Linked DNA regions of Alligator mississippiensis. The protein of the gene in region 2 purifies or fractionates together with the protein of the main gene of each other region. This does not show direct contact. Links are inferred from orthologs where the notes say so. Each region holds a gene or a part of one and is shown on either strand. Other genes may lie near its edges. The genes, in order: protein mono-ADP-ribosyltransferase PARP12 and RNF114.

What was found.
Region 1: the proteins of RNF114 (region 2) and protein mono-ADP-ribosyltransferase PARP12 purify together in Homo sapiens (affinity purification with mass spectrometry; 3 studies listed by BioGRID and IntAct, counting the BioPlex papers as one, with this or other methods). This does not show direct contact. The link is inferred for Alligator mississippiensis from reciprocal best matches to the Homo sapiens genes RNF114 and PARP12.

What each region holds. Positions count from the first base shown.
Region 1 is NC_081827.1:107,906,352-107,921,594, reverse strand, and holds the start of protein mono-ADP-ribosyltransferase PARP12, read right to left. Parts: upstream 6,160-15,243; 5' UTR 6,119-6,159; coding exon 5,658-6,118; intron 6-5,657; coding exon 1-5.
Region 2 is NC_081832.1:13,430,897-13,446,169, forward strand, and holds the start of RNF114 (E3 ubiquitin-protein ligase RNF114), read right to left. Parts: upstream 5,908-15,273; coding exon 5,744-5,907; intron 5,109-5,743; coding exon 4,958-5,108; intron 2,898-4,957; coding exon 2,791-2,897; intron 2,048-2,790; coding exon 1,933-2,047; intron 765-1,932; coding exon 657-764; intron 410-656; coding exon 344-409; 3' UTR 1-343. UniProt on the Homo sapiens protein: E3 ubiquitin-protein ligase that promotes the ubiquitination of various substrates. In turn, participates in the regulation of many biological processes including cell cycle, apoptosis, osteoclastogenesis as well as innate or adaptive immunity.

The DNA.
Region 1 (15,243 bases), on a different chromosome or scaffold from region 2:
CTTTCCTACATGTTTAAGAAGCCAGACACATAAGAAAGTGAACTGAATCAGCATAGTTTCACTAGAGGAGATACGTTAGATTGAACAATTTATACTGCACACAAAACTAACTAGTCTCAGAGAAAAATTACTCAGAGGATCATTACCATACCATTTCCAATTTACTGCCATAATTACTGAAAACTCATTGGCAGTATTACAGAATGCCAACAATAGTGCTTATAAATACCAGATCACCTGGTAATTATATTCACTTAATAGAGAAGGAGCAAGAATAACAGTCTACATTTCCAAATCACCCATTGACATTATAGTCCTAAACTTGAGCAATATGAAATATTCAAATTCTGTATGGAATTTCCTGAGTGCCTCATACATATAAACAATCCTGGTGGTTCTGCATGTTTGCTGCCTATTATCGGTGTCTTGAGCACAACGGCATGTGCCTGATGCCTGCTCCAACATGTTTGATTTAGAACACATCCCAGCAGACTTGATTGATCGAGCCTGCTGGAGCATGCTAATTAGCGCACAAGCAGCCTCGGCATCGCATGTATTCAGCCTCCCCACACTTTAAAATGGTGGCAGGGGCACTTTAACTCATTGAATGAGCTTTAATTAAACTGCCCCGGCCACCATATTGAAGTGCAGGATGCTGAATACACGAGATGCTCCCGAGAGCCGCTCTAATTAAAGCACCACCCCTCGCCCCCCACTCCAGAGCACATGTGATGATGCCCAATGTGACTGCATAATTGAAGATTACTTTTAAATTATGGCATGTTTGCACTGGAGATTTTAAGTTGTTTTTGTTGCGCTTTAACCAAGCCTCTAGTCCTCAGACAATTTTACTGTGCTAGTAGCATTTTTCCCCCACTAGGTTGAATCCTGCAAGCATGCACACACTTTACTGTGTTGTTAGTATAAGGAATTAGAAATATCTTTTGAGTATTCAGAAGTAAACAAATATTAAGATTGTATTCTGCTCTACTCTGTATAATTTTCTCACCCAGAAGACATTACGTAAATGGGGTGCAGTCAGACAAACTCCCCAACACGCACATATTTGCAGTCCGTAAGAGACAAGTTTAAGGAAAGGAGCACATGACAAAGTTGGTGTTCTCTCCCTAAACTCAGTCCACACAGCATTCTCATGCTCCTCACCTTGCTTATATAAAACTTGCTCTCCCTACTGATCTGTCTGAAATGCTACCTTATTCCTTCCTCTCCTCAACTAATAGGTGAACAGTGAATGATGTAGGCAGAGATCCACAGACTGGATCCAGCTCATGATCCAGTCTGTGTTTTACTAATGGCATGCTGATCCCTCTTGGATTAGATACATGATTTAAGCCACAGAGTATGAATGTGAATCCAGCCCGCATTCCACATTGGAGGCCAACCCCATGCTGCAGGCATATTGCGGAGGGCTCTGTAGGATTCCAGCTCAAAGCAAAGGGCTCTTCCCTCCCCCTCCCCACTGCAGCCTCTGCTCACTGTTTGCTTGCTGCTGGCTTCACCACTCAGCATTGTCTTTGACCACAGTTTTCAGTGACACATTTTTCAGAAGCTGTATGAGGAGGGTGAGATCATAGTCCTTCACAGAGCTGGGATGCAGCAGAGGACTGACAGCCTACTGTAGGAAAAGGTAGCCACCCCCTGACCTAGGCTGAGCACAAATTAAGACAGAGCAGGGGTCAGCAAGGTTTTGCAGTGGCAGGCCAGATCAATTTAGGTTGCATCCAAGGCAAACCAATGCTTCCGCCCTGCCACTGTTGCCCTCACCACCTCTTCTCCATCCCCTGACTGGTGCAAGTGGAGCCCCCCAGCTCCGCAGGCCAGATCCAATGACTCTGTGGTTTGGATACTGTTGATCCATTGAACAGAGTAACAGGGTTGGAGGAAAACATCTCTGCAAGGGGCAAACAAGACATAAGACCTCTAACAAAAGTGGGCAAGAAGGGAAGAGTACAAGTGTATTTGGGGGCGGGGAAAAAACAACTTACAACTTAACCCCCAAAAACAAGGAAATAATTTTTCAGAGTCAATCATCCATCCACACTTCATTCTAGGTCCTTTACTCAACTACACCCCTTCCTCTGGTAGGCTACCTTTCACCTTCATCTTAACTAAAAATGCATGATCGGACATAAACCTGGCTGCTGGTTATTTATTTATGGATTCATTGTTGTAGCTTCTACATAAAAATGCTAATGTTAGATTGTCTGTATATACCACCTGTTCCCACTGCTTTAAAAATATATTACAGGAACAACACACACCATATTATGGCCACCATTCACAGTTAGTCTATAAATTGCACATTCACATGAAGCAGGCAGAAAGTGATCTGCTAAAGCCACAACCACCAGTGTAAATCAAACCATGTGAATAAACCAGTGAATGTGGTCAGAATTCAAACCAGTCTGCTAGCTGCTCAGAAAGAAAGTAGGGTGGACTGGGAAGGGAAATAACTGATATCAAGCAGGAAATGGTGAGTTGAGGCAAAAAATTAAGTTTGCTTAGAATCATAGGAAAGCAGAGCTGGAAGGCACCTCATGAAGTCATCTAGTCTAGCCCCCTGCTCAAGGCAAGATCATCACTGACTAAACCATCCCAGCCCAAGGTTGGTTCAACCTGCTCATGTGAAGTTCCAGGGATGAAGAGTCCACAACTTCTCTGGGTAGCTTGTCCCAATGTTCGGCCACCCTCAAAGTCTGCAGGTTGTTCCTCATATCCAACCTAAATTTCTTTTGGTGCACATGAGGCCACTGCTCCTAGTCCTGTCCCCTGTGGGGACAGCAAACAGGCTATCTTCATCCTCTTTATAAGGGCCCTTCTTCCTTAGATCCTCTTTAGAATCACTCTACTTCCTTAGATCTAATGGTATCTGATGAAGAGTCACCCAATCCAGCAAACTACCTTGTTGTAAGTGAAGCTTTTTATGAAATATTTATTTAGTATCCAGAAGTGTATTAGCAATCTACTGAAAATAAATGTTTATGTTTTTATCTGATAAGTTTTGATTACACAGAGCTCTCTTCAAAAATGGTGCAACACATTAATTTAATTAAGCATGTTCACTTCCTCTCAATAAATGCAGTTGCACAATTGCAATGCATTTCTCTCTCTTCTATGGTTTACACAATCATTGCAAAGCATGTGAGCTATTTTATCTTGCTCTGTACCTTTAGGACTATGTGGCCTACATAAATACATAATTCTGAGTATATCACACTCTATGGCTTAAATCACATCAAGCAGACATTTCATTTTTTTCCAGCTGGGGACAAAGCAGTGCTTATTCCAGGAGGAAACTATTAGAAGGGCTGTCCTGAGGGGTGCTGCAAGTCCAAAAAAGGCTGAGAACTGTTCTAGTACTACACTGAGCCCCTACGGGAAACCTTCACTCCAGGAAATGCCCTGAAAGCAAAAACTGGGAGTAGGAGATACAGTGAAAAGTTGGGCTGTAACTGTTGAAGCCAAGACAAAAACCAGCAAGCATCCCGTTTTCCAAATTCCTCTGCCCAAGGTTAGTGTAACAGATGCCTCTATAATACTATCAACATCAATAAAAGCCATTGTTCACTTTAAATGACAAAATGGACAGGAGAAAAATTGCAACTACCCTCATGCTGCACCCAGCAACCATCCCACCTGTAAAAAGTGGGCAACCTGACAGGTCTCCAACTTTCTGAAGCCCTCACATCTGAAAGTAAAGAACCTTATTCTCTACTCCAACTCTGCCCTCGGTTGTTAAAGGTCTCCCCCCACTTTATGGTACAGACTGTAGACATGTCCAGGTAGCCTTCCTCATATGACATGCCTTCTGAATCCCTTTGATGGAAGAGCTGAATTGCACTAGATGGAAACAGCGATAGGGCTGTGCGAAACAGCACCACTTCGTTTCGACTTCCATTTCACTGTTTCGAAGGAACACTGTTTTGTTTCGCTGTTTTGAAGCACTGTTCCATTTTGTTTCATCAAAACTGTTTTGCTGTTTTGACATTTCGTACATAGGCTATAATAGAGAATCACAAAAATGCCTGTAACTCTGTCATTTCTTTCCTGATTCAAATGAAAAGAGCATGGATGGCAGCCCCCTTATGAGGCCATGAAACCTGCCAAGTTTCAAGGAGACAGGTGCAGGAGTTTGAGGGAAACTGAACCTCAAACTGTTCAGAGAAAAACTCATGTCACTTGTAAGCATGAAGGCACAGAGAAACCTCAGTTCAAGCAATGCTTTTTGTGCTGTTTTTCCATCCCTCCAGAGCACTGGAATTGGAAGGGACCTCAGGGAAGAATTACAATCACTTGTCAGCTACACAGTCAATATTAGAGCAGTCCTTCCCCCCACTCTTCCCTTTCCCTCTCCTTAGTTTCTGTTAGGTGCAAGCAAGCCAAGCTTCAAGTGCCCTCAATTCTTTTTGAAGTTGTTTTGAAGCCTTTTGTTTCATTTCGATTTCGCTGTCTCAAGCTCAAAACCTGTTGAAACAGCTTCAAAACAAAACACCTGGCAAAATTTCACACAGCCCTAATAACCACTGAACCCCTGAGCAACGTGCTCACCTACCAAACAGCAACCCACGTCCCCTGCAACACATTACATATGTGACAACTGACTGGGAAATCACGCAATAAATTTAGACTGGCCACCCGTGCAAAGTAATGATCATGCCATTCACTGGCGAATAGTGCAATAAACTTAGCCAATGCATTGCACAATAAATCCAGACCGGTGCAAACTAATGACCACACCATTAGTCAGCAAAGTGCGCAATAAATTTAGGCTGGCCCCATCTGCAAAGTAACGATCACACCATTCACTGGTAAACTGCAAAAAATTTAGACCAGCCCAACCAGCTAAGTAATAATCACAACGTTTACTAGAGAGCTGCGCAATAAATTTAACGGGTGAATCACACAATAAATTTAGACCAACCCTGTATGTAAAGTCCCGATCACAACGTTCACAGATGACCCGTGCAATAAACTTGACTGGTGAACCACGCAATAAATTTGACTGGTGAACTGTGCAATAAATTTAGACCAGCCTCACTTACAAAGCAACGGTCACGACATTCACTGGCAAATCACACGCTAAATTTAGGTTGGCCCTGTGCAAAGTAATGATCGTGACATTCACTGGCGAATCACGCAACAGATTTAACTGTCCAATCCCGCAATAAATTTAAATCGGCTTCAAAGTAAGGATCTCCCCACACAAAGGGGTGCCCATTTCCTAAAGGAACCCTGCCACAAAGTCAGGGCTTGATAAGGTGCCCCGCCCGGCTCTACGGCTGCTATCCCCTGGGGCCCTTGCAGGAGGGCGGGAAGTACCCGTGCCTAGGGACAGTTGCTCTGGGGGGCATGGGGTGGGAGCAGAGGGGTCAGGGAGGCCTCCTAGGGAGGCAGGTCATGGCCAGCCCAGGATGTCCAGCAGCATGGGGCAAAGCCGAAGGGGGGGGGGGGGTCCTAGCCCACAGGGTGATGGGGCACTGGGGGGAAATGTCCTTGGCGGGGGGCACCACGGTCTCAGGGTACCTGGGGCTGGGGGTGCTCTGGGGTGCCCCCGAGTACCAGGGGCTTGGGGTGCCTGGGGGTATGCGGGGGCTGGGGGTGCCCAGGGGTTTGGGGGGCTGGGGCCGGGCGCTCACCCTGCGCGCTGGTTGCGGCAGCAGCCGTAGACAAAGAACTTGCAGAGGTGGAGGCGGCCGCAGGCGCCGGCGCAGCCCGCCAGGGGCTCGGGGCAGAGGCGCACGGCACTGGCGGCCACCACGACGACGACGGGGCCGGGGCCGGGGCCGGGGCCGGTCCGGCTGGCCAGCACGAACCTCCGCGCGTCCCGCAGCTCCCGCGCCAGCTCCTCGGGCGGCGCCGCCAGCCGCCGCTGCAGCTCGCCCTGCTCCAGGCAGCCTCCGGCCCGGCACAGCGCCTGCAGCGCCCGCGCCCCCAGCCCGGCCGGCGCCGGCGGCGGCAGCGCCATGGCCAGCGCGGCCGTGCCGGGCCAGTCCCGCGCAGGCGACTGCGGCTGCGGCGGGAAGCTGCGCTGCGGCCCGCGCCAGGGGCTCCGGCTGGCCCCCGCTCCCGCTCCCGCTCGGCCGCGACCCCGCCGCATCGCCCCGCGCCGCCGCCTCTCGCCGGTCCTGAGGCGGCGCCCAGCCCGGGGAAACGAAACCGAAAGGGCTGCGCGAGCCCGGCCCCGCGCTCTGTGCCTCCCCCCCGCCCGCCCGCCCGCTGCTGCTGCCGCCGCCGCCGGGGGGGGGATGGCGGGCTGTGCCCAGCCTCCGGCCAGACCCCGGCCCTGCAGCCAGGCACCAGGCAGGCTCCGGGCTGGTCCCCTGTCCCTGGTCCCTTCACGCCCCGGGCAACATCCACTGGCCCCGTGCGAGGTCCTGGGGTGCTTGTCCAGTGCACTCAGCTTGGTGTCGCCTCAGAAACCCTCGCTCCCGTCCCCGTTGTGTTTTTATTTGTCCCGAGGAATGGGCGCTAGGCCCCTAGTGGCCCCCATCGCCAAGGGGGCTTATAGCTTTACTTGGCTGGTCCCCATGGCATATCAAAGAGCCCGGCCCTGCCTATGCTGGCAGTACATCTCACCACGAAGGAGGCTCTGGCCGGGAGGAGCCTCCGAGGACTGCGGGGCCGTTCCTGTCCCTGGTCCATTCGCGTCTCCAGGCAGAGTTTTACTGGGCAGTGTCCACCGGCTCCTTGGACTCGTTGGAGGGCCAGTGGGGACTATCTGGTGCGCTCTGCTCTCCACCCCGGGCATGCACTGTTGCTGTACGCACGGTGGCAGCAGAGCAGACGGTGGGGGCACTGGGTGCAGTGCTGTGGCAGCGAGGCGTGGTGGTGGCGCTGTCACTGGCCACCACAAAATTAGTTTTGTGGGGGCTAAGCCCTGTTAGCCCCGACTTTCTGCCACCTATGCCAAATTCCCAGTATGTGTCAAGTAGGCCTGTCAGGTCCCAGCACTCTCCCCGCTGTCCTTAAGGCCATGTTCTCAACCTTTTAGACTGGAAAATCACCCTCCCCCGCAATAGACTTGAGGTTCGCCTAGGTGGACTAGACTTGAGGGGTCTCTCTTGGAAGAGGCCAGGGCTCAGCTTTCCTTTGCTTTCTGACTGCAGAAAAACACTATAGCAATTCTGCTGTTGCGAAGGACTCGGCCCACAGCAGGCCAGAAGGTTTGGCACCTAGGAATTCCTCTTGAAACTCCCTGGGTTTATCACAGGAGTCGTGTGTGCTTTGTAACATCGTGTGGCAACCCACACCACCCCTCGAAGGCTCTCAAGGCATCGCAAAGGGTCAGGGCACCCTGGTTGAGAACTGCTGCTGTTGTTATGTGCCCGCTCTGCCACTGCCTTGTATGACAATTTGTTGTTCCCCATGGTGGGGGGCCCCCAGTTGCAGGTGCCTTGCCTCGCTTTTCCTGAGGGGAGCCCAGCAAGTCCATTCCCTCCACCACTTCTTTTATATTGCACTGCCCTGCAGGCCCCTGCATTCTATGTTATGTTTTACGTCTACATGAGACACTATGTCACTGCAGTGATGAGCTACAGGGACGCAACATCAGCAGGCATGAACTGTGACTAGCTGAAGTCATTGCAGGACCACTGGTGAACCTCTTTGAGAATTTGTGGTGCTCAGGAGAGGTCTCAGAAGACTGGAAGAAGGCCAATGTTGTGCCCATCTTCAAGAAGGGGAAGAGAGAGGACCCAGGGAACCAGAGGCTGATCAGCCTGACCTTAATCCCAGGAAAAATCCTTGAAAAATTTCTCAAGGAGTCCATATGTGATAAACTAGTAGAAGGCAAAATTCTGAACAACAGCCAGCATGGTTTGTCATGGGTAGGTCATGTCTGACTAACCTCATTTCCTTCTATGACCAGGTTACTCACCACCTGGATAAGGGAGATGAGGTTGACGTAATTTACTTGGACTTTATGAAGACCTTTCACTTGGTGCCCCATGAGGCTCTCAAGGTAAAACTAGGGCAGGGGTAGACAACATTTTTTGGCCAGAGTGCTGAAAAAACCACAATGTCTACCTTGGAAGGTGCCAGAGTGCTGACATGCTGGAGCCTGGAGCAGCTGTTTGCAGCTTCCCGACTACAGTCAGCCAACGGAGCCTGATGTGCTTACAGCAGGGCTTGCAGCCTCCCAGCTGGGAGCAGCCTGGGCTCCATGGCTGGCAGCAGCTGCTTAGAGCCCAGGCTGGTGGTGGTGTGCCAAGCAAAATGGCCTTGCGTAGCATGCTTGGCACGTGTGCCAGAGGTTGCTGACCCCTGAACTAGGGAATTATGGGCTCAACAATTCAACAGTTAGACGGATGGGATACTGGCTGTGAGGTCGGACCCAGAGAGTACTAATAGATGGATCTGTGTTGACCTGGCGGAAGGTAGCCAGTGGGGTCCCCCAGAGGTTGGTACTTGGAACAGTGCTTTTTAACACCTTTATCAATGATCTGGATGTGAGGGTGAAAAGCACTGGCAAAGTTCACCAATGACATTAAGCTCTGGGGATGTGCAGCCATGCATCAGGGTAGGCTGATGATCTAGGCGAAACCAAACAGATCAGTGAGATGGGTAGCCAGAACCAGATGCTGTTCAACACTGAGAAGTGGAAAGTGCTCCATCTGGAGAGGAAAAGTCCACAACAAACTTACAGGCTCAGTGGTGCTACACCAGCTAGCTTAACGTCCAAAAGGGACCTGGGAGTCATAATTGACCATAAAATGAATATGTGCCACCAGCGTGATGCCACAGTTAGCAGAGTGAACAATACGCTGGCATGCATCAACCGATGCATCTCAAGCAAAACTAGGGGAGTTATTCTCCCGCTCTCCTTGGAATTGGTGAGGCCACAGTTGGAGTACTGCATCTAGTTCTGGGTGCCATGTTTCAAGAAGGATGTGGAGAAGCTTAAGAGAGTCCAGAGCAGAGCCACTCATATGATTATAGGCCTGAAGAGCAAGCCATACAAGGAAAGGCTGACAGGTATGGGACCATTCAGCCTACAAAAGATGACTTCAGGGGGATTTGGTGGCAGCTTCCAAATATATCAGGGGAGAGCATCAGGGGCTAGGCAAACAACTATTCACCAAAGCGCACCAGGGGAAAACCAGGAGCAATGTTCATAAACACCTAGAAGAAGGCTTCATGCTAGATATAAGGAAAAACCTCTTCATGGTTCATGTAACCAGACTTTGGAATAGATTCCCAGTGGTGGTGGTACAGGCATCTACCCTGGAGATCTTCAAAAGGAGACTGGACACACATCTTGCTGGGGTTATTTAACCCCAGCAGTCTGTCCAGAGCAAGGGGGGCTGGACCCAATTATCTCACAAGGTCCCTTCCAGCCCTAAGCTTCTGTGAATCTGTGATACCGGCACTACTGTGCAGTAGCTCGCTGCTACTGCACAGTAGAGTCAGAAATGACCCATGCGGCACTGGGACTGCATGGTACTGGCGGTTACTGCGCAGTCATTTCATACTTGCTAAAGTCTGTGAAGTTGTGTTGAGCTGCATAGTTGCTGCTGTGTGTTGAATTTTTGGTCCCTGTGAGACTGGCTAGATCACTCCAGGGCCAGACTATTATTGCAGTCAGATGCAGTGTCTGGACCATATTTGTGACTCCCTGTGGTGAGGGAGTGAGTGACCAGCTCAGTAAAGCCTCCCAGTAGCTGAGGCCACCTGTCTCACCAGTCAGTTTGACTATTAGACTTCAGACATCATGCCCTCCCTTACCACAAGGAGTCAAAATACGGTCCAGACACTGCATCTGACTGCAATACTGGTTTGGCCCTGGAGTGATCTAGCCACTCTCACAGAGACCAACAATTCAACACACAGCAGCAACTATACTCCACAGCTCAACACAGCTTCACAGACTTAGAACATAGAGCTCAGGCATACAGGCACGCACCTCTCACCACTCTCATTCACCCTCTTCACATGGATCCAAGTGCACATACATGCACTAAAAGTCACAGAGACTCACACAGAGAGACAGAGACACTACATACCCCCAGATCCTTCGGCTGTGTTATTTTATATCAGTGGGAGCTTGGTAACTCACCCCCTCATCATCCTCCAATCAAGTCAAGTCAAGTCAGTCCCAAGGCTGCTACAACTGTTTAGCTGCCTTAGATGTTGTAACAACCCTCCTCCACTCTGCCTGTGTTTGGCTAGCTTTGTGCACCCTATCAGTTGAAGCCCTGTTCAGTCCTTAATATTGGTTCCCCAGCTTTTCTTGGGTCTATATCTTTTTCTCTTTCCCTCCACAGCATCCTGCATTCTGGTGTTGGCAAGAGTGTCTGGTCTTCTTGCGATGTGTCCAAACCTCTCCAGCTTTGTTTGTTGCACAAGCTCCAACAACAGTTCATAGGTTCCAATTTCTTGATTGATTTGTTGCTTGACAGACTTGTTGGTCCAATGCTCAGTGTATACTCCAATCATGTTTGCATCCTCCAATCATGTAGTGAATATTCCTGGCCCCTTGGTGATAGAACCTGCCACTCATCCAAACTACTACAATCTTTCACTCAACAGCACTTATTTCTCACTTTTACCTCAAGCCTGTGGCCTCAAATACCTGCCAATCACACTACCTTTCTTGCTAAAGCTCAAACATCAACTACACATGCTCACTCATAGAAAAGTAGGCTAGAAGTTAGAATTTCACCCCTTCCAGGCTTTTCTTAACCAAGCCTCAACTGCTCATGCCTGACAATTCATTTGCTGGAATAGCAGGACAGAGCAAAAACCTGGGGTCTACACCCCTTTTCTTCTACCAAGATCTGCCATGGCATCTGTTTTGCAGGCTCCCTCTCTGCCTGGCCTCTTAGGACCTCTTGCTTCCTGTGTTCACTCTCAGCCAGTGAGAACAAGAAAGTGATGGCAGAAGAAGCTAGACAAACAGCTGGGGCCCAAAGATTTGTCATAACACCCAAGTACCCATGTCCAATTCCTAGGCATCCTCAAACCCAGCCTGGCACCATACCACCTCACACCCTCTTCACCAATCCCACTGGGCAGGCGCCCCACTCCCTAGCTCTTTTCCCATCCAGCTCACTCAGTTACATCACCAACACGTTTAGTTATCCTGCCAACTACCAAAAGCATTTCCTTTCCAAGCGAGTGTGAAGTGTATGTTCACTAGGGGTGTGCAAAGTGGGCCCTATTCGATTCGGACTCGGCCTGAATCAGGGACAGTTATTCGATTTGTTGATTCGGATCACTGTCCCTGATTCAATTTGGGCAAATCCAATTCTGAAGATTTTATGCTGATTCAGAGAATCAGTGATTCGGAGATAGACACAGCTTAAAAAGTTTTTTCTACATACCTTGAGGTAGCAAGCGCAGCTCATGATCGCTGTGATGCTGGGGCCCTTGGAGCATCCCACAGGAGTGTTGGGGGGCCCTCCATATGTACTTCTGGTCCACTTCCAATTCTGCTGGGGAGTGTGCTGGGGGTCTCCCCGTGCCTCCCCAACCTGGTGATCAGCTGTGGGGGGACCCCAGGTGCCCCCACCCCAGATCCAGAAGGCACCAGTCACCGAGCCAGGGAGGCATGTGGGGGCCTCCCCAGCATGCTCTCTGGCAGACCCAGAGGTGGATCAGAAGTGCTTCTGGTCCACTTCCAGGTCTGCTGCTGAGCATGCTGGGGAGCCCCCCACACTCCTGTGGGGCACTCCATGCACCCCAGCATTCATGAGCCCCTGCTACCTAGAGGTACGTAGAAAAAATATTTAAAGCTGTGTCTATGTCCAAATCTCCGAATCTTTCTGAATCTCTCTGAATCGATTTGGAGGGTTCCGATTCGATTTGGGTAGATTAAAGGGTCCTTTGATTCGATTCGGATTCAGAGATTTGGCCACTGAATCGAATCAGGGACCGAAGCTTCACACAGCCCTAATGTCCACCACTGTGCCTTACTCTGATAAGTTATCGGCATAGATTCCCATAATGAATCTACCTTAGATATCTACTTTAGAGCATTTCTGATGTATTAAAGGAGGGATATCAAACTCATCTGGCCTGTGCCACGGGGCTGGTCCACAGACTGGCTGAACAGTGCAGAGCCAGTCCTTTGGGCCACACTGGGCCCAAAGAACCCCCAGCATGTTAGATCCAGTGCAGTCTGTCCATCTTTGCTAGTCTAGGATAATACCAGATGTGACACCTATGCAGAGCCAGTCTGAGACCCAAGCCACATATGGTGTTTGCTCCAGCTGGTCCAGGACCTTTGCTACACATGGCATCAGCCCCAGACCTGCTGGGGTGGATGCTACATGCAGCATAGGTCCTGGACTAGCCAGAGTGAGCACCACATATGACTGGCTGGACACCACATGGTCTGTGTCTCAGGCCCTATATGTGGGCCCTGTCCAGTGCATGCTGTATGAAGCATGTGGCTCAATTCTGAGACCCAGGGACATCACCAGGATCCAGACAATGGGACTTCAAGGGCTGGATATGGCCCACAAGCCATGTCTTGGACATTCTTGTATTAAAGCTCTCCAGTCAACACAGTGTGAGGTTCCCTAATCTCAAATCCCTTAACTCATTGGGCTAGTGGGGATTTAGTAGCAGATTGATATCAACTGCACCAAACTGCTAAAACTTTTGACGTCATTCCTCAGCAAGCACAGCATAAAAAGAAACCGACATTGAAACTGAGTTATCTTACCACAGCTAGTGGTTCCTGGAGTATATTGGTTGAGGGAAGTTCGTCCTGCTGCTGCCGGTGCTGTCCCTACTCTCTGACTACATGGAGGTTTTCCCAATGCTCAAGAGCAAAACTATCAGCCTGGCAACATTCACAAGCACAGAAAATTCAATTAAAAGACAAATCAACACAGACAAAGATCAACGTAAAGAAGGTTGCCAGTTTGCAAAATGGCCTTTTCCCCTTCCCTCATACACATGCCAAAAGTCATTGCTTGTTCCTATTATAATAGAAGTAGTCACACAAGTTTAAACATGTTCCTCAGGAAGAAAAAAATAAAAGTACCTCTTCAATTTGACATAACTTCCCCAAGTATGAATTACATATAATCAACAACATTATATTTTCTTCTCTTTAGAAGTACTTGGTGCTAATAGGAAAAATGTCTTTATTCATAACAATCCAATGTCTCCAGTGTAAGAATTGCTTATGTGCTAGTCGAAGAGGACAAAAAGCAACTAATGCCTTCTTCACCTACAACATACCGAAGATAAAGGTAAGGATACTTACTTATTTTATTAAAGATCACTGTAACATAATTCCATCTGATCTATTATGCCTAGGCCAAATTACCACGTTGGGTGCTGAGCCTACAATAGGCTCTGCACAAAAAGCCCGCGTGGATTTCTGCACAGCTGCAGGGGTCAGCCCACATTTTGTTTATAACAGGAGCTGGGCTTTAGTGATAGCAATTTCAATGAATGACTCTGCCAACATCTTATTTAAGGACTGAAATGTTGCACCATGAAAATGATATACTTTATGCTATCTTCAAGTCTGAATGACTAGCTTGGTAATCATACATTCCCAATAAGGTTATGGATAATTACAACTGTATGTTCCTTATTGCTTGAACAGCAATTGCAGAAGAAACAGTTGTGTGTTATATTTTTAATCAATTATGTTTGTTCAGTGAATTTGAGTCTCTGAAGCCCCCCAGCTCCACTATAATAGAATGAAAGTGACTGCATTTCCCTTCCTTTTTTAAGCTCTTCCATGAGATAGGGAGTTTTCCTAGACAGGACATTTATAATTAATAGACATAGAATTAATTCTCCCCAATATGGATACTGGGAGTTTTTCAAAGGTTTTAAAAATTATTTTAGGGAAGAAAAGTGGCAGAACAGCATAGATTCTAAGTATAAACTATGAGTTTAAATATTTTAGAGTAGGACAATTAGCTTTGATCTAATCTAACTTCATGGGCCACTGTCTAGTTTAGAAGGTGAAAGAATACACTACATGGATCTGTAAGCTCATTTGAGCATCTTTCAACATCTGAGTTCATTGAAAATTCAAGAATATTTTTTTAACATACCTGGAGATATCTCCAAAGCAGAATCTTTGAAAATGTTTTCCCAGGGAATGGCTGACTGGGCTAACCGAATGGTTATCCAGATGGCTATGTTAAATTCAGGTTAACCTTGTTTTCAGCTGTACCAACTGACTGGTTTTGTAAACTCTTTTCTTCATATATTATTTGTGGAAAGGCACTATGTCAGGGGTGTCAAACTCATCTGGTGCCACAGGGGTCATGCTGCATGGGGTGGCCACTCCACCACTCCAGCGCCATGCTACACGTGGAGGCTTCTCTGAGATGAACCACTGGATCTGGCATGGAGCCAACATGCTGGATTGGGCACCACATGTGGCACATCCCCTGAATGGCTGGAGCAGGTGTCATGTATAGATTGCAGGACCATCCAGCACATCCTGCATGCTGCCTATGGGTCAACTCCAAGACCCGCAGGTAGTACTGTGGGCCAAATGATAGGGCTCTGTGGGCTGGATTCAGCCCATGGGCCATGTCTTTGACACTCCTGCACTATGTGATACACCTCCACATACAAAGTAGTCATCTACCATTTTTAAAGATTTTCATAGTGACTCACTATACATTGTTTACAACAAAAGCCAAGACCATTAGAACAGAGCCAAGACCAGGAACTTGAGATTTGATGCAATACATGAGAGGAACCAGGCTGTGGAGCTGTTGGCTTTCCCTAGGGATTTTGCAACCGCTTATAGAAACTGTAATAGCTAGTGGTATATCTACTACACTAGCCAGAGCTACATCTTCAGATATCAGAACTTTTCAGCATAAAATTAGATAGAAGATATGCCTCCAAGTTTTTTGGAAAATTGCCTACTTTGTAATAATGTCTATATATGAAAACACTATATGTAAGAAAATAGTCAGCCTTTGCTGTTTGCACTGATAGAGGAACAGCTGACAATTGGGCTTGCTTCTAATTCTGAAATATTTTAATCTTTAAATCAATCCTAACAGATTAAATAATTACACTAGTAAGAAGTGTACATCAATAAAATTCTACTCCGATTTTACTGAATTTTTAGTTCCTTTGCAGATGTAAATAATTATACATGGTGCAAAGCAGGAAAGATTCAGACCTTTCCTTTTCCTGCTACTTAGCCTTGCACCTCCCTCCCTCAAACTGAAGGCCTCCTTCCAGAGATACCTGAGCCCAGGCCCTTCTCTTTCAGTTCACCTACAG
Region 2 (15,273 bases):
TCAAGTAAGAATGGACATAATGAGCAGACAGACACAAGGGTGGGGAAAATGAAAAGAGGCAACAGAAATACAGAGGAGACAACTGGCTAAACTTAGCATGAAAGGAGCAGGAGTACTAGCCTCACATGGCTGAGCAGCCAAAAAAACCTGTCTTGATAGTGTTAAGCAATGACATGTAGAGTAAGATCAGGAGCTGAGGCCAGGAGACTGGGACTCTTCAAAAATCTTCCTTATTTATTTTTGGATGCCTGAGTTCATCTTGGACTGTGTAGGGAGAAGTGTGAGGGATGCTGGGAACTCCCCCTAATGGAAGCTTGGTATTACAGTTTTTCTCCTACTTAGTTCATTTATCCCTCAAGGACCGTAACAAAACCTGTGCCATCATATCATCTTCATCAGCATCATAATCCTAAGGACAGAAAAGGCAGAAGTCATTAGACTCTTCACTTGATTTCACTGTTTACCCATTACAAACATTTAACAAGTTTAGGAAGCATCAGACTTTCAACAGAAAGCAAGCAGAATTTTATCCAACTCCAGAAAGGGATACATTGCCCCTAATAGGATGGTATCTACATGAATGGCTAAATTACACTTTCATACAAACTCAGCAATCATTCTGCTATATTCTAAGAGTTTTATAAGGAATTACATACCACAAAAGTATCATAGGAAAACCGATGCCGCCTCTGAAGATGATCCATGAAATTGGCACTCCTGTAGTTGGGATCTCCCCATGGCATTGAGGCACAAATTGGGCAAACCTTTCAAAAAAGCCACAAAAGCCAATGTTGAATTCCCTTCATGTTCAGCTGGGAAGCACACCCTCAGAACTAGAGACCTCTTTAGAGGCCTTTCTTATTTCATGGCAATTTTTAGCACGCATATTTCCCTCCTGAAGTCCAGGGTCTTTGCCTCTAAGTAACCAATTTAAAAAACATTGAGAGAGGAAAGTGCCAAAGAAACAGAAAAAATGCTTCTATACGATTGTGAAGCTTATGAACACAGTTCATATAACCAGAATTTCACTTTGTATGCAAAATGAATTGAGAGTGTTTTGTCAAGCCACAGAACACTACATAAACCAATTGGTTCCTCAGATACTGAATTAACATAATTCAGAAGTTTGTGACTTTGAAGTAAGACTGGTAGTTTGAGCCTCCCTCTCGTGGAGGGCAAAATACTGAACTAAGTTTGCTTTCTAAAATACTTTTAGAAACCTTCATTTCTACAGATTATAAAATATCTGCACACCAACACTCCTGTAGAACATATTGATGTCTTCATAGAAAAAGAGACTGTGATTTTGTAAATTAAAACTAGAGAAGTTTTTCAAAACTACACCCCAATTATTAATTGTTAGAGCCAAATTCAAGTTTTGCTGTTTTTATTCTACTTACTGCCATATCTGTAGGTAAAGATCTGTGTAAATGCTTGTAACAATATTAAAAAGTTTACACATCAGACAGTGTTATATACTTTTGCTCAGGATTTAGGGAATGGTACATAAAAGGCTTGGATGTCAAAATTTCATTCCAACATTACTTGTAGCTTCAAGAGGTTAAGATGGCTAGTTTAGTGCACGTTTTTTTAAATGCGAGCATAGGCACTTAAAAGATGCTTTGATATCTTTCTGAAAACTTGTCTACCTCCCCACAGACTCCTCGAGAAGCGTGTTTTGAATTTGCCCAGATCTTCAAAACAAGAGTAATATCCAAACATTAACATTTTTGTATACACACAATTTTATTCACAAGGATAGTCCTATTTAACTCAAAAGGAATACCTGCAGTTTAAAATCAGGCATACACTTAAGTGTCTAAGGTCCCCGAGCAGAAATCACCGAGGGACCTAATGCTAAAACTAGCTTCAGGCTGCTGGCATATTTCTGCAACACCAGCATTATACTGAATCTGATACTGTAAGCATTACCACTTGTTTTGCATCCATGATGTGGTACTTTTTGCAATGTTCAACTAGTCCTTCCTGATCAAGGTTTCTCTCACTGCAGTAAGGACAAGGAAAGGTAAAGCGATTTGGAACATTCCTGGGGGAAAAAAAAAAAAAAAAGATTGTGTTTACATTTTAGAAAGTTAATACCTAATGAGAGACTGGCTACTCATGGTAATTTGAGAGAGAATATTTAAATAAAGAGCACTTAGGGTCACCACTTATTGTGTGATATATGAGCAAGCTGAATTTAAGAACTTGTTTTTTCTATCAGTGAAGAAATGACATCTCAAAGGGCAAAGTTAATACATCTGGCAATTACAGTTATTCCCTTACAAAAATATCAAGTTCAGCTTGCTTTCCTGGTCTGCACCATTTTTGTGAAGAATATGAAAGTTTGCCAGACAGTCTACAATATGGGTGACCAGTTCAATGTAGTCATTTCTCATTTCATTTCAGTAATTAATCAGAGACAGAATAACAAGTTTAAAACTAAAATAAAACGTAGATAGCCTTACCCAGGACCCTGATCTTGTAATAGTTTGTGCATGGGCAATTTAAGTCAGTAGAGCAGTGCACCTGGGCGATATCATTTCTGTATTAGAGCCTAGTTTAATTGTAATACAGCATTAAAAGAACTACTCCCCCTAGACTAAATGAAGATCTAACAGTCTTTGCTTGTACTTTCACATGCTGCACAAGAAAGTGCCTGCAACACACCAAATGCACCAAAACGTATAAAAACAAATCAGGAAAGCAAGTTTTGGCATTAACTAAAACTTCCACCATCAAAAATCTTTACCCAACCACCTCCCTGTAAATGACTGGAAACAGAAATACCTGGTGTTACAAGGTGGTTCTTTAGTTACAGCTTTCACACCTTCCATTATATAGTTCTGGTATTTTGAACAAGAAGCTGCATGACTGCGTAACTTTGAAAGGTACATCTACGCAAACAAGAGACAGAATGTGAAGGTTATTAAGGTTAAGTACAGGAACTACAAATCACAGGAATCAGAAAACATTCTGTTCAGAGAACATTAAAATAAGGAAAACTGAATGTTGTGGCACAAGGCAGTCTGTTCTGAACAGAAGCTACTCACTAGGTTAACATGCTACTTGTGATACATTATGATATAATATAATGTTTAGACTCCCTGTTCACCCGAGTACCATAATTCTTGCTTTTTTTCCCCTCTACATCAAAAGGAAAATAAACTAATTTCTACTTTGTACTAAACCAAGCCAACGTTCCAGCTCTGCCTGCCATTCTTCCCTGTTATGGGCTCAAATAGAGACAAGCTACTGAATCATTAGCCAATATATTGTATAAAAGTAAACACAACAGAGTATTAGGCCAGATGTAAATTAAGCGTGCTAGAAAAATACTTATGATCACAAGCTTACATTGTAACCATTTCTTCCTCTCATAGGGTACAATGATTCCTTGTTAAACAAAATGTTAGTATTGATATGTCCTACTAATCAGGGGTGCACCAATAAAGATTTTTGGGGGTGATACTGATGGCCAATTATTAATGAGCCATATTGGGCCAATGTTGATCCGACTGCTAATATGAAGCCCACCAACATGGAGAGCAGCGTCTGGCTGGTAAGTCTGCTCGGGGTGGGGGGGGGGAAGCAGGGAGGAAGGAAGGGGTGTGGTGGGGAGACAGTTGAGGTCTCTGCAGTAAGGGAGCCAATGCATCAGTGTACCTCTACTGCTAATGTTATTCTGATTAATTGCAAAGAGTATATAAGAAGATTTTATTAAATTTAGCAACTCGTTTCTCTATTCATTCTGATAAGACAAGTGTCAAACTGAGAAAGAAACCTAGTAAGAGGTCTATAACTAAATAAGAATTGAAGGTATTTGAATACTGATGCTTTCCAGAACTCTGACAAATGTGTGTGGCAGACTCTGGTAGAAAACAGTGGTAAATCTGGAGGGTTTATATTTTATTCAGACAGTAAAATATGGAGGCTACAGTTTTTTCTTTTATGACAAATCAACCTTTTTACAAATTTGAATACTTGCATTTTTTCTAGTACCCAAGAGTCAGAAAACAAAACTGCCTAGAAACGAAAGTGAAACTGGCTAGACCCAAGTTACAGGAAATGCAGCATGAAAGGCAAGCCATACAATTAAAAAAAAAAAAGTTTTAGTTGGTAGGAATTTGTATAAGGTATATCTAGAAGGAACCCTATCACGTTAAGGATTTTTAACTAATTAGCTTTAGCTTTATCTGGTGGAAGCTAGTTCTATGTTAGCTATTAAGCTATGCTGACTATCAAAAAGTCAATTGGTCACGTAGCAGAGTAATCAGGAGATAATCAATGTTTGTTATTTTTACAGCACTGCCATCGTAACAGCAGTGCTCTATAATTTCTACGCTGCAACGTCTGAAGTCTGGGCTCTGTATTAATAATATCATGGAAGGATAACATTTATGTCTACATTTTACATATTTCCACAGCATTAGACTCTTATCTGTACAGCAGAAGCTGGAGAAGACATGACTTTTACCAGATACCAGGCAGCACCACCATAGCAAACTACCCCAAATATACTGAATACAATTTCAAATAACTCTATCAGAAAGGTGCTTCTGTCAGTAATCAGTCCAACAGACTCTCCAGACAGGTTTCACTTGATTTCTCCCGGGACAAACGTTGCATTTATAAAACAGCATTCTCCCTGCAGAAATGTGCGCGCACAAGTTCCCATGACATCTTTACATTGCATGTTTGCTGCATACTTCAAATAAAGGGGCAAGTAATCAGCTAACAAACTGAAGTTCACCTCTCAAAGGAAGAAACAGAAGACACGGCTGGGGTGGGGAGGAGGAGAGGACATTGGTGTGCTACCAAGCATTATTTCTCTGCATTATTTAACAACATTAAAATCTTGATGGCTGACTCTCCAGAAGGCTGAAAAGAAAAATGTTATTTTCCAGGTGTGGCTAAATAGGGAATTGCGTACTGAAGTTTTTAAATGCTTTCATACTTTTTTATTGCAGCCACTGCAAGCAGTTTCTGTCATTTCAATTTGTTTTTCCAGATCCAGAGCTGTGCTGCCAGGAGACAGGGTACTACGGCAGACTCCACACACTGGCTTTTTCGGCTTAAGACATTCCTGCAGGCATGGAGCGCAAAAACTAATAGGGAAGAAATACAAGGTTTCTAAAAACGCATGCTGTAGAAAACGCCTGCACCGTTCCCAACGAGACCCTCACGGATATACCTTAAATTTGGCCAATAACGAAAGGGAAGTCACAAGGGACAACGCACATCAAAAACCTTCACCCTACCTATGTCACACTCAAAAGGGACAAACTGGTATCGAGGGCTACGTTTCAAGAACAAAACAGCTATCGTGAATGTTAGGTGCGGCCCCGTCCCTTGGTGCTCCGGCCAATTTATGGCCAAAGTGTTTCCTGCTGGAAGGTTTGGGGCTTCAGAAACATCCCACGCGAGCAACAAAAGCCGAGGACGGCAAAGGGCAGGGCGCGCTGCCGTGCAAACACAGGGGCTCTCTCATGACAGGAACCCGAAACTTAACTGGCAACAAAACCCACCCCTTCCTGCACCGGCACACCCCGCCGGGCTCGGGCAGGTCCTGCGGGGCAGGGGGGGGTACACCGCGGGGTAAACGGGCCCGGGGTGGGGGGGACACCCCTGGGCGACGGGTTTCACTGGACGAGAGGGCGCGACCGGCTCGCACAGGGCTGCCCGGCCCCCGCCCCGGTGGATCGCTCCCCCCGCCCGCTCGTACAGCGCCCGCCCCGCTCACACGTGTCCGCAGGGCGCCCGCACGGGGCTCTCGTAGACCTCCAGGCACACGGGGCAGAGAAAACGCGATAGCGGGTCTTGCGGCGCCGCCGCGGCCGGGTAGCGGGAGCCGTTGTCCGCCCCCGCCATGTTCCGCCGCCTGACTTCCGCGAAGCACTTCCGCATGCCACTCCCACCGCCGACGGTGGCCCGCAGGCGCCGGCGCGGCTACGCCCCCGTACAGGGCCACGCGCATGCGCGAAGTGTAGCTCCTCCCCACGCCTCTGGGCCTCGCGGGGGGGGGGAAGCAAAATAGTTGGCTCCGCCCAGCGCCGCTGGAGGGGGCGGGGCTTCCGTGTTGGAGGGCGGTGTGGAGCTGGCTGGGTTCAGCGACTGCTGCAGCCCCAGCCTCCTATCCTGTCTCTTTTGGGGGGGCTGAGATGGGCTGTTGGTGTTAAGTGGATGGTTTGTCATGAGTTTTATGCTTTTATGCACCGCCAATTGCTCCATAATTTCAACCCCCAGGTCCTTTTCTGTAGAGCCACTGCTTAGCCAGTCAGTCCCAAGCCTGTAGCGATGCATGGGATTGTTGTGTCCTATGTTACCTGTCAGCTCTGTGTTCCTGAGGGAGCCCTTGCACCCAGCTTGCTGGACTTACAAAGGACTTTTTGTATTCCCCCCCCCCACCCCTCATCTAACCAAAACTAAGCAGAAGAAAAGTTGAATAGGCATCTCTGGCCGTACATTCCCAGGTCCCAGTATGGGAGGTCTATTTAAACTTAATTGACTAAAACTTGGTTGCCGGGTTAGGGAATGCTGAGGCAAGAAACCGAGTCAGAGAGGGTACAGGCAACATTTGAACAATGGTTAAGGGTTCCTCACAGGGTCCAGCCCACTGGAGCCCTGAGCACAAATGCTGTCATACTTTTCCTGAGATGACTGGTGCAAGTCCTCCCCACAAAGTTTATAAACTCTCCAAGTAATCCCCTTAAGTACGTTAAAAGACTACAGTAAGATCTGAAAGTCATGTGAAGCTGAGGCTTATTCACAACAGGTAAAATACAAAACACTGATGCTGACTTCACAGTACAAGCATAGCTAGGCCATTTGAGAAGAAACAATGTGGTATCCCTTCCAGTATATCTTCTATATTCATAATAATTTCAAGCTGGCTCCTACGTGTCTGGTTACTCCTTAAAACTTTATGTTTTTCCTGGTTGTTAATCAGTTTCTGGAGATGTTCCAAACCAGATAATCCCTTGTCACTGAAAAAGGTAATTCATCTAAACTGAAACTGCTTATATAACAGGATTTTCCCTGTCAATGATGGCTTGGGACCCTCTTGATTTACACAATTAAACAAATGCTTTGAAGAAGCTGGACTATAAGGGTACAAGAAAGCTGTAAAGCAGCAGTGTGCTTCAAGAGAGAATAATCTCTCTGACACCATCCGCTATTGCTCTTGAGAAGCTGGGAGAAACAGATCATCTCTCGGTCGCCTGTTTAACTTTCAACTATTGTGCTAGGAACTTTGCCTGTCAACAAACCGCCCAAGTGCCTTGGAACGGTGAGATCCCAGCTCGCGCTCGCTCTCTCTTTCTTTTTCTCTCTAGGCATAGCTTTCTGAACCTGAATTTTATTAGTCAAGCTTGAGCTAGGTTTCCCCAAATACTCAATTAAAACAGGGTAATATTGTAATCATTTTTGTTCATTTTTCCTTGTATGTCTATTACTACTAGTACCGTCATAAATTTCATATACTTAGCAATAAATAACTTTTATAGTCAAACTAGTGGTAACTGGATGTATTTTTTCTTCTCTGCTTCCCCTTCCCCACTTGCTCTGCAGCAACACTGCTCATCAAGAGGCTATCAGTGCTAGGAAAGTAAGGGCAAAAGATTGGGATGTGCTGAGTTTAAGACACATAAGGGGATCAGCTTGTATAGGCTGATTGACCCAGTTTGGCTCAGATGTGCCCTAATGAACTGAATGCTGGCCCATGAGGGTGTCAGCTGGCCACCCAGCCGGATTCAGAGGTATTCTGTTCACCTGTGTGCTTGTGTCTGCCTGCACTTTATTGTTACCTTAATGAACTGATTCCTGGTATATGAGGGTGTCAGCTTGTACATGCTGATCAACCTGGCCGGGTCAGGCGTGTCACGTTAGTGTGTGTATTTGATGAATTTGGTGGCTGGAGGAACCCTTGAAACTGAGTCCTACAAGATAGCTCCATTGGGGGTGAGGACCTGCAGAAGGGAAAGATACAGCTCTGTATAGAAACACAAGTAACAGAAGCAGCATATTAATTAAATTACAAAGACCCTAGAAACGTATCCCTAATAAATGCGCACACCCCAAAGTGATGGGCAAATCTGGTAACACCGAAGTGCAGGACTTTGCATTTGTCCCTGTTGAACCTCATGAGATTTCTTTTGGCCCAGTCTTTCAATGTGTCTAGGTCACTCTAAATCCTAGACCTACCCTATTACTACCCCCAGCTTGGTGTCAGCTGTGAACTTGCTGAGGGTGTAATCCATTCCATCTTCCAGATCGTTAATGAAGATACTGAACAAGACTAGACCCAGGACCGACCCCTGGGGCACTCCACTTGATACTGACTTCTAACTAGACATTGAATCATTGATCACTACCTGTTAAGCCTGACGATCAAGCCAGCTTTCTATCTACCTTACAGTGCATTTATCCAGCTCATACTTCCTTAGCTTGCTTGCAAGAATGCTGTGTGAGATGGTATCAAAAGCCTTGCTGAAGTCAAGTTATATCATGCCAACTGCTTTCCCTGCATCCACAAATCATTGATAACTACTCTTTGAGAGCTCCTTTTCACCTAGCTGTGCATGTGTCTTACCACTAATAAATTGCTTTATTTTTCAGCAACAGGGACTGAAACTCTATCTTGATTTTACAAGCCAGAAAATATCTGTGGTGCTGCTAAAATATGAATCTCCAAATCTCATACCTCCTGGCTTAGTTGCCTAATTTCCCCATGCTGAATACTGACTGAGGTTTCATTTTCCCCTGAAATACTAGATATTGGCTACTATTCACAGCAAGTCACCTTATGCTTTAGGATTTGATTTTGTAAGTCCTTTTGCACTGTTCAGCAGGAAGCATAAGGTGCTGCACTCCAGGTGTGAGCAGAAGCTATATGTGGGTGCTAGTGCTAAGTATAGAAAGCTGACCTGAAAGCTAGTCTAAAGAGTCCCATTGTCTTCAATGAGATTTGAATCAGGTCCAAAGTAGTTCTGTTTCAAGGGCGAGAATAAGAGGCAAATCCTTTGCATACCTGCATCCTTATACAGTACAGGATAAAAAAAAAAAAAGAGGTAGTGGCACAGGGAACAATGAGTGTCCAAGGAGCTACACTGTGGCTGCCTTCATCCTACCAGGCAAGAGTCGGTCATGCAACAGCCCTGTTAATACTTTGAATGCCTTCAAGAGACATTTGAACGTTTATCTTGCTGGGATCCTATGATCCCTGCTGATTTCCTACTCCTGGGGCAAGGGGCTGGACTCGATGATCCTCCGGGGTCCCTTCCAGCCCTAGTGTCTATGAAATCTATGAATACAGAATCAGGTTCCCTTGTACTCCTGCCCATCAGTTATACACACACCATTTCAGCTCTGCCATGCAGGACTGACCAAAGTAATTCAGAAAACTTTGTGTACTGAAGAGAACTTTTTAGACTGAATGAATAGAAAAATTATATACCTTTCATCTAAGAAAGAAGCCTCTCTTCTTCCAAGAGTCACTGCAATACATGTTTTGCATTACAGAGCTATTTTCCCAGTTCTCTATTCCACTCTATGAGTTTTAACTTAACCTTTTTTTAACATTTGGTTGGGACGAAGTTAGAGAGAAGGGGGGTGGTGTGGAATGTAAATTAGGAAAAATAAAAGAAGAAAACATTCTGTATATGTGAAGCCAACTGCTTCCATTACTGTGCCAAGTGACAGTTGTCATGAAACTAGCTGTATTAGAAAATCAAAGCCATAAACGCACTGCCAATGACAGAAGAATTATTTTCTTTTATCACAATTGTGCTTGTCATACCCCTATTACACGTGTACACCCAAGGGGAGAGATGGTCTCCCATTTCAATTTGTAAACCAGCTGCAACAAGACTAAGTTGCAAAAGTTTAATATTTCCAATTCAGTATGAGCTTTTATCATGTCAAACATGGTTCCTGATACCTGGATCATGTAAGTTAGATTTCATTTCTGCATTGCTGCTGATGAAAATGATGCAGGCTTCCAGAATACCATGCTCGCTAAATGCTCTATCAGATGGGAGTCTCTTGCTGTATATGAAACAGTGCACTGAAGCTGCAGAGAGAACAACTGTGTTTCTGAGAAACACTCAGCATTGTTCTGGCAAAACACTCAGCTTTGATTCAGCCATAAAGCACACTCACCCACAGCTAAGAACTTAAAAAGTGATTGATTGCTGTAGAAGAACAAACCTATTATGGTTCATATAGTGGAAAAAGTGCAGACTTCTAGGTTAAAAATCAACTCCCTTCAGGCAGAATGTAAAGGAAATTGGAGTTGGTTAGACCCAGGCTGATTTTAAGAGGACCAAGAGGTAAATGTTCCCATGTTACTGAAAGCAAACAAATGCTTTTAAAAATAGCTAAAGCAGCAGAGTGTAAGTAATTGGTGTCGGCAAACAGAATCTATTTGGTTTCTGACATTAGCCCCAGGACTGAAGATTGTCCACATTTTATTCATTATGTTATTACTCACATATGTTTTGAGTGTCTTGTAGTAGCAAAATGTGATTCTATTTTCCCCTTCATTTACCTTCAAGACTGCTCTGGCTCTGGAATAAATATTGACCTTTTAGAAAGGGGTAATGCAGCTCTTATTCTGTGGTTTTCAAGATAAGTAGATATTAAATCAGTTTATAAAATAATTGTATAATGATTCAATAATTGCTTTCTGTTGTGACTGAGTAGCTACATCCTGCATTATTTAAAAGAGCACTTAATTTTTTGTCTTGCTTATGCTGGAATAAATTTCTTTTACCTTAGGAAGTAAATCATTAGCTCTAATCACAGATAAACCACAGGGCTAGATTCACAATAGATATTTAGGCAATTAAGTCTTGCATAGGTATCTAGCTCTCTCTGATTTGAATGGGAGCCTAAATATTTCTGTGGATTTGGGCTGATGTATTCACCACAACCCCTTCCTCCTAATCCAGTTTGATCTGGAACTCAACAGGGATTTAGATTTCTATGTGCTGAATTGACTCTCAGTGGAATTTGATGATCTTGCCAGACTGGACCAAAGTCTACATCTTGCCAAACTGGACCAAACTCAGCTGCTATGGAATTTAAACTTGCAGAAACACAGAAAATGCCCCACATGTTGCCAAACATGATCACTAATGGGCACACATTTAATTACCATCCGACAACATAAGTATCTCATTAATATGTTGCACCTTTACCCTTTTAATGTGCTATGGTATGGTTACCTCTCACTGTTCAAATAGGGTTGTGTTAGTACTTGAACAGAAGCCATGCAAGAACACCTAGCAGAGAGCAGGGTGTGATGCAATTTGTTATTTCTCATGAGTCAGCCCTGAACCAGGTGGAGAGAATGGAGGAAATTATGCAGCTGGAAGTGGCCTAATCTCTTTCAGATGAGAGTACAAAGACCTGACTATTTAGAGTCATTAAAAATCCCAGAGCGCTGAGAGTTCAAACCGGATTAGTAACCTAATGGCCCTAGTTAAACTTTTCTTTCCTACCACTCACGTGCAACATCCTTTGTCACCCCACAGGCAGATGCACTGAGGATCACTGCTGTACTGCATACACTGAAGTGCTATGGATGCCCCAAAAACAAATATCACCCCCCACTGTCAATTCTTGAGAGTTTTTTGACAACTCCCACATAATTTAATGTTTCTCCCAAAGCCTCAGCTGCCAGTCCTATAATGCCATGAGACTCACAGTTTCCATTAAAATACTTCCAACTTTTGTGGCTGCAGAACACATCAGGAATGAGACCAACGGGAACCTCCAAGGACTCAGAAGACAAATGAAAACAGAAGCTTCTTTAAAGGCATCGTGACTTTAGAACCATTAAGTATTTCCCACATTTCTGGGCTTCACTAGTCGCTCCCCCACCCCCTTCTGCTTCATGTGTCAGAGGGGTTTAAGACTTGGGCATTGGGTGTTGGCTACAGCCGAGCTTGGGGGGACTTTGGGGGGTGCATATGCTCCTGTTGGGACCAAAGCCAGAGGCTCTTGGCTAGAGGGTTTTTTGACCCTTTGCTCAGGGTCAGACTGATACTCAGGGTCAGGAAAAAATGTTACCCCATGGTCAGACTGGTACAGCCTGGGGGGTTTGCCTTCCTGTGTAGCAGGGGTGCGGCCCTCAGCCTAGGATCTCGAGCGTGTATCAATGACATCCTATAGAAGCAGGACACCGGCTGCCTGGTTCCCCTGCCTTACCCATGGCAGGTTGGGGTGTGAGGCTTGTGCTGTGTTGATAGTGACAGTAGCCTTATGCCAAGTTTAGTGGAGGTTTAGATAGGGTGGTTAGGACAGGGGTGATGCTACCTCAGGAGGGGCTGGGCAACACAACCTCTAGAGGCCTCTCTCAGCCCCACTCCCCTGACTGCAGGGAGCCTTGGCTCTGCCCCATGCAGGGGGATGCTGTCTCTTGCATGTGAAGGCACCTTTCCATGTCACAGAGACCACCATAGCAGGACAACACATCTTGCTACAGAGGTGGCAACCCCAAAACCCCTCCACAGGGGCAGAGCTCAAGTACTAGCCCAGACTGAAGAGAGCCAACAAAACCCTTCTCATAGGTGCCTACTCCTCTCGCCCTTTAAATCCTCTCGATGACATCACCCTCGGCGTGACGTCATCAAGGCGCATGCGCATAAAAAGAAGGCACGCTCCTTATGTCATCCCCCAACCATCTACTTCCGGGTTGTAGCTGTCACTCCCCTGTTTCCGGGCGGGGGCTCAACCCGGTGGGGGAAGGGGTTGCGGGATTTTTTTCTCTCTGGATTCGGAGAGAGAAGCGCGCATGCGCGAGCCGCTCTGCCGGGGTTCGCCGCTGGCGCAGCGCAGGGGTCACTTCCGGCTGTGGGGGGCGCTCGGGGTCTGCATCCGGGTCGCGGGTGACTTCCGGCTGGCGGTGGCTGCGGCTCCGCTCCGTGAGTGCGGGCGGCCGGGCGGGGCCCGGGGTGGGAGCCAGCGGGGGACGGAGCTCCCTGCGGAGCCGGGGGAGCGGGACTAGGGGCTGCGGGAGGGAGCAGGAGGCGACATCCCTGTCCGGCTCCGGCCGCGGTCCTTCTGGGCTCAAGCCGCCTGCGCTGGTGCGGGACTCGGGCTACTTCCCCCCCCCCCCGCGGGGCCGGGCCCGTTGCTGCGTCGGGACGAGCCGCGCGCGCCGGTTGGGGAGGACTGCGGGGCTGCCGGGCAGCGCTGGGTTTCCGTCTGGGCTTCCTCTGAAAAATGCCTCCTTAAAACAGCCCCAGAGCTGCCTGCGCCGGGGGCAGAAATGGCTGCAGGGAGGCTTTTCTGTGGAGTGGGGGATTTTTTTGCTGCCCGGCTGCTTTAGAGACGTTGTGTGCAAAATCAGACCTTGCAGACACATCCGAAACGGCAGCTTTTGTTGTGGGACAGAAGTGATTGCCTTCCTTAGACGCCGGCTTTCAGCGGCTGGCCTGCTGTAGCGAGAGCAGCTGAAGGAGGGATGCCACCGCTCTTGCCGAGGCAGAAAGCCATGAAGGTGGCACTCCTTGTAAGAAAAACAATCCGCACCCAAATACCCGCCAGCAAGGCTTCTTCAGATGTGTTTGGAACTGGGTTTTAATACTTTAGAGGAAATGGTTGTCGTTGAATAAGGGTTGCACGTGCATGTTTCTTGCTTTTTTTTTTTTTTTTTTCTTAGTCATTTTTCATCTGGGATTTCTTAACATTCCCAACCATTTTTTGTGGCTGAGTGTTTTCCTATGTTCAGTGCAATTCTGTAGCTGTTTTTAGTGTATGGCAAAATCTTTAGAGATGAAAATCCTTTTTATCTCGCATAAAGATGATGGCCTAAGTAGCCACACTGTACGTTTTCCTCATGTTGCTATGACCGTATGTTCGCTCCTGTCTTACCTTGGGGATAACTGAATCTCTCTGGCACATCTACCCTTTGACTTCCCTGCCACGACTTTTATTGAAGGGACCAGATTTAGATGTTTTTTCTTTATGTCCGTCCGCTAGACACTGGGCTAAGATCACCACCATTCACTAGGTCAGAGATCAGCCATAAGACATTAAAATCTTGTAAGTCACTTGCAGTGAAAGGGCTTTGTATTTTGATGAATTCTCTTGAGCTACCACTGTTCTTCCAGCTGTATTAATCAAGGGCAAGTTGTGTACAGTACTTACCAAGTACTCTAATCGGAGATGTCAAAAGTAAACTGTTTCCACCTAGCACCTATGGAAACCCACCCCATGATTAGTGAACTGGTTGAGATTAGAGTCTGAACTCCCAGAAATTGTAAATGTTAACAGGCAAAACAGATGCTCTCGAAAGCTGTCATCTGTTGTCGTCGTCTTTCATATTTTGATTTGCAGCCATGTTTTTAGTGAACCCTGGCACATCCACAAGTGGCAAGTTGTAATTGGAGCTGGAGGTGGCTATGAAAGTCGCAGTGCCTGAGGTCTTTATGAAGGATCCCCCTCACCCCCTTTTTTTTTTTTTCCTTCAGAGGATGTTTTGTCTTGCCAAACAAAGCTGCTTCTTCATACATCTCTCAAAAAAACAGAAGAGTTAAAGCATTCAGCTCCCTACCAGTTTCAGCTTGTTCCCCATCATAATCTAGTTTGCCCTGAATGACCTAAATGATTTTCCTTTGGAGTTGTGTCCTGTAGTCTAATTGTCATTGTTTTTAATCGAGTGACAGAATGCTGCTGCTTTTATTTCTGTAAAGATCAAGGTAGTTACTGTTGGCAGTAACTTTTAATATGTAGTGGAGAAGTTCACCTTTCTGAATTTTTCAGGCTGACTGCAAACCCAGGAAGACAACACTGTTAGTTTACATGTGCCACAGTTGGGAGATTGTGCTTGTAAAAGTAAAGATTAGACCTGTACATCAATTAAAAATGAAAGCTTATATTATGTCGGATCTGATGTCCAGACCACAAATACAGCAGGTGGTCCATGTCCACTTGGACATCTGTGCTTCAGGGATTTAGTTAAATAGCACTTTGTAAGTCGGGGAAAAGAGCTCTTTTGTGCAGGAGACCTTAATTCAGTGAAGCCAAAGTGCAAATGTCAATTCCTAGGTAAAAACCATAAATGACTGGTTTGCGCTATGTTAACATAATCTTTCAAAGAAAGCAGCGGCACCAACTTTTTGGCCTTTGGATATAAGTGCCAGTTGCAGACTAAAACCTTGGCTGTACCTATCAATGCCTGCTCTGTGTATTGAGCTGTATATGCACTGTTCCAGCATTGTGAGAGATGTTTAGGGTAGCTACAGCCTGGTGGCAGATTAGACTCTG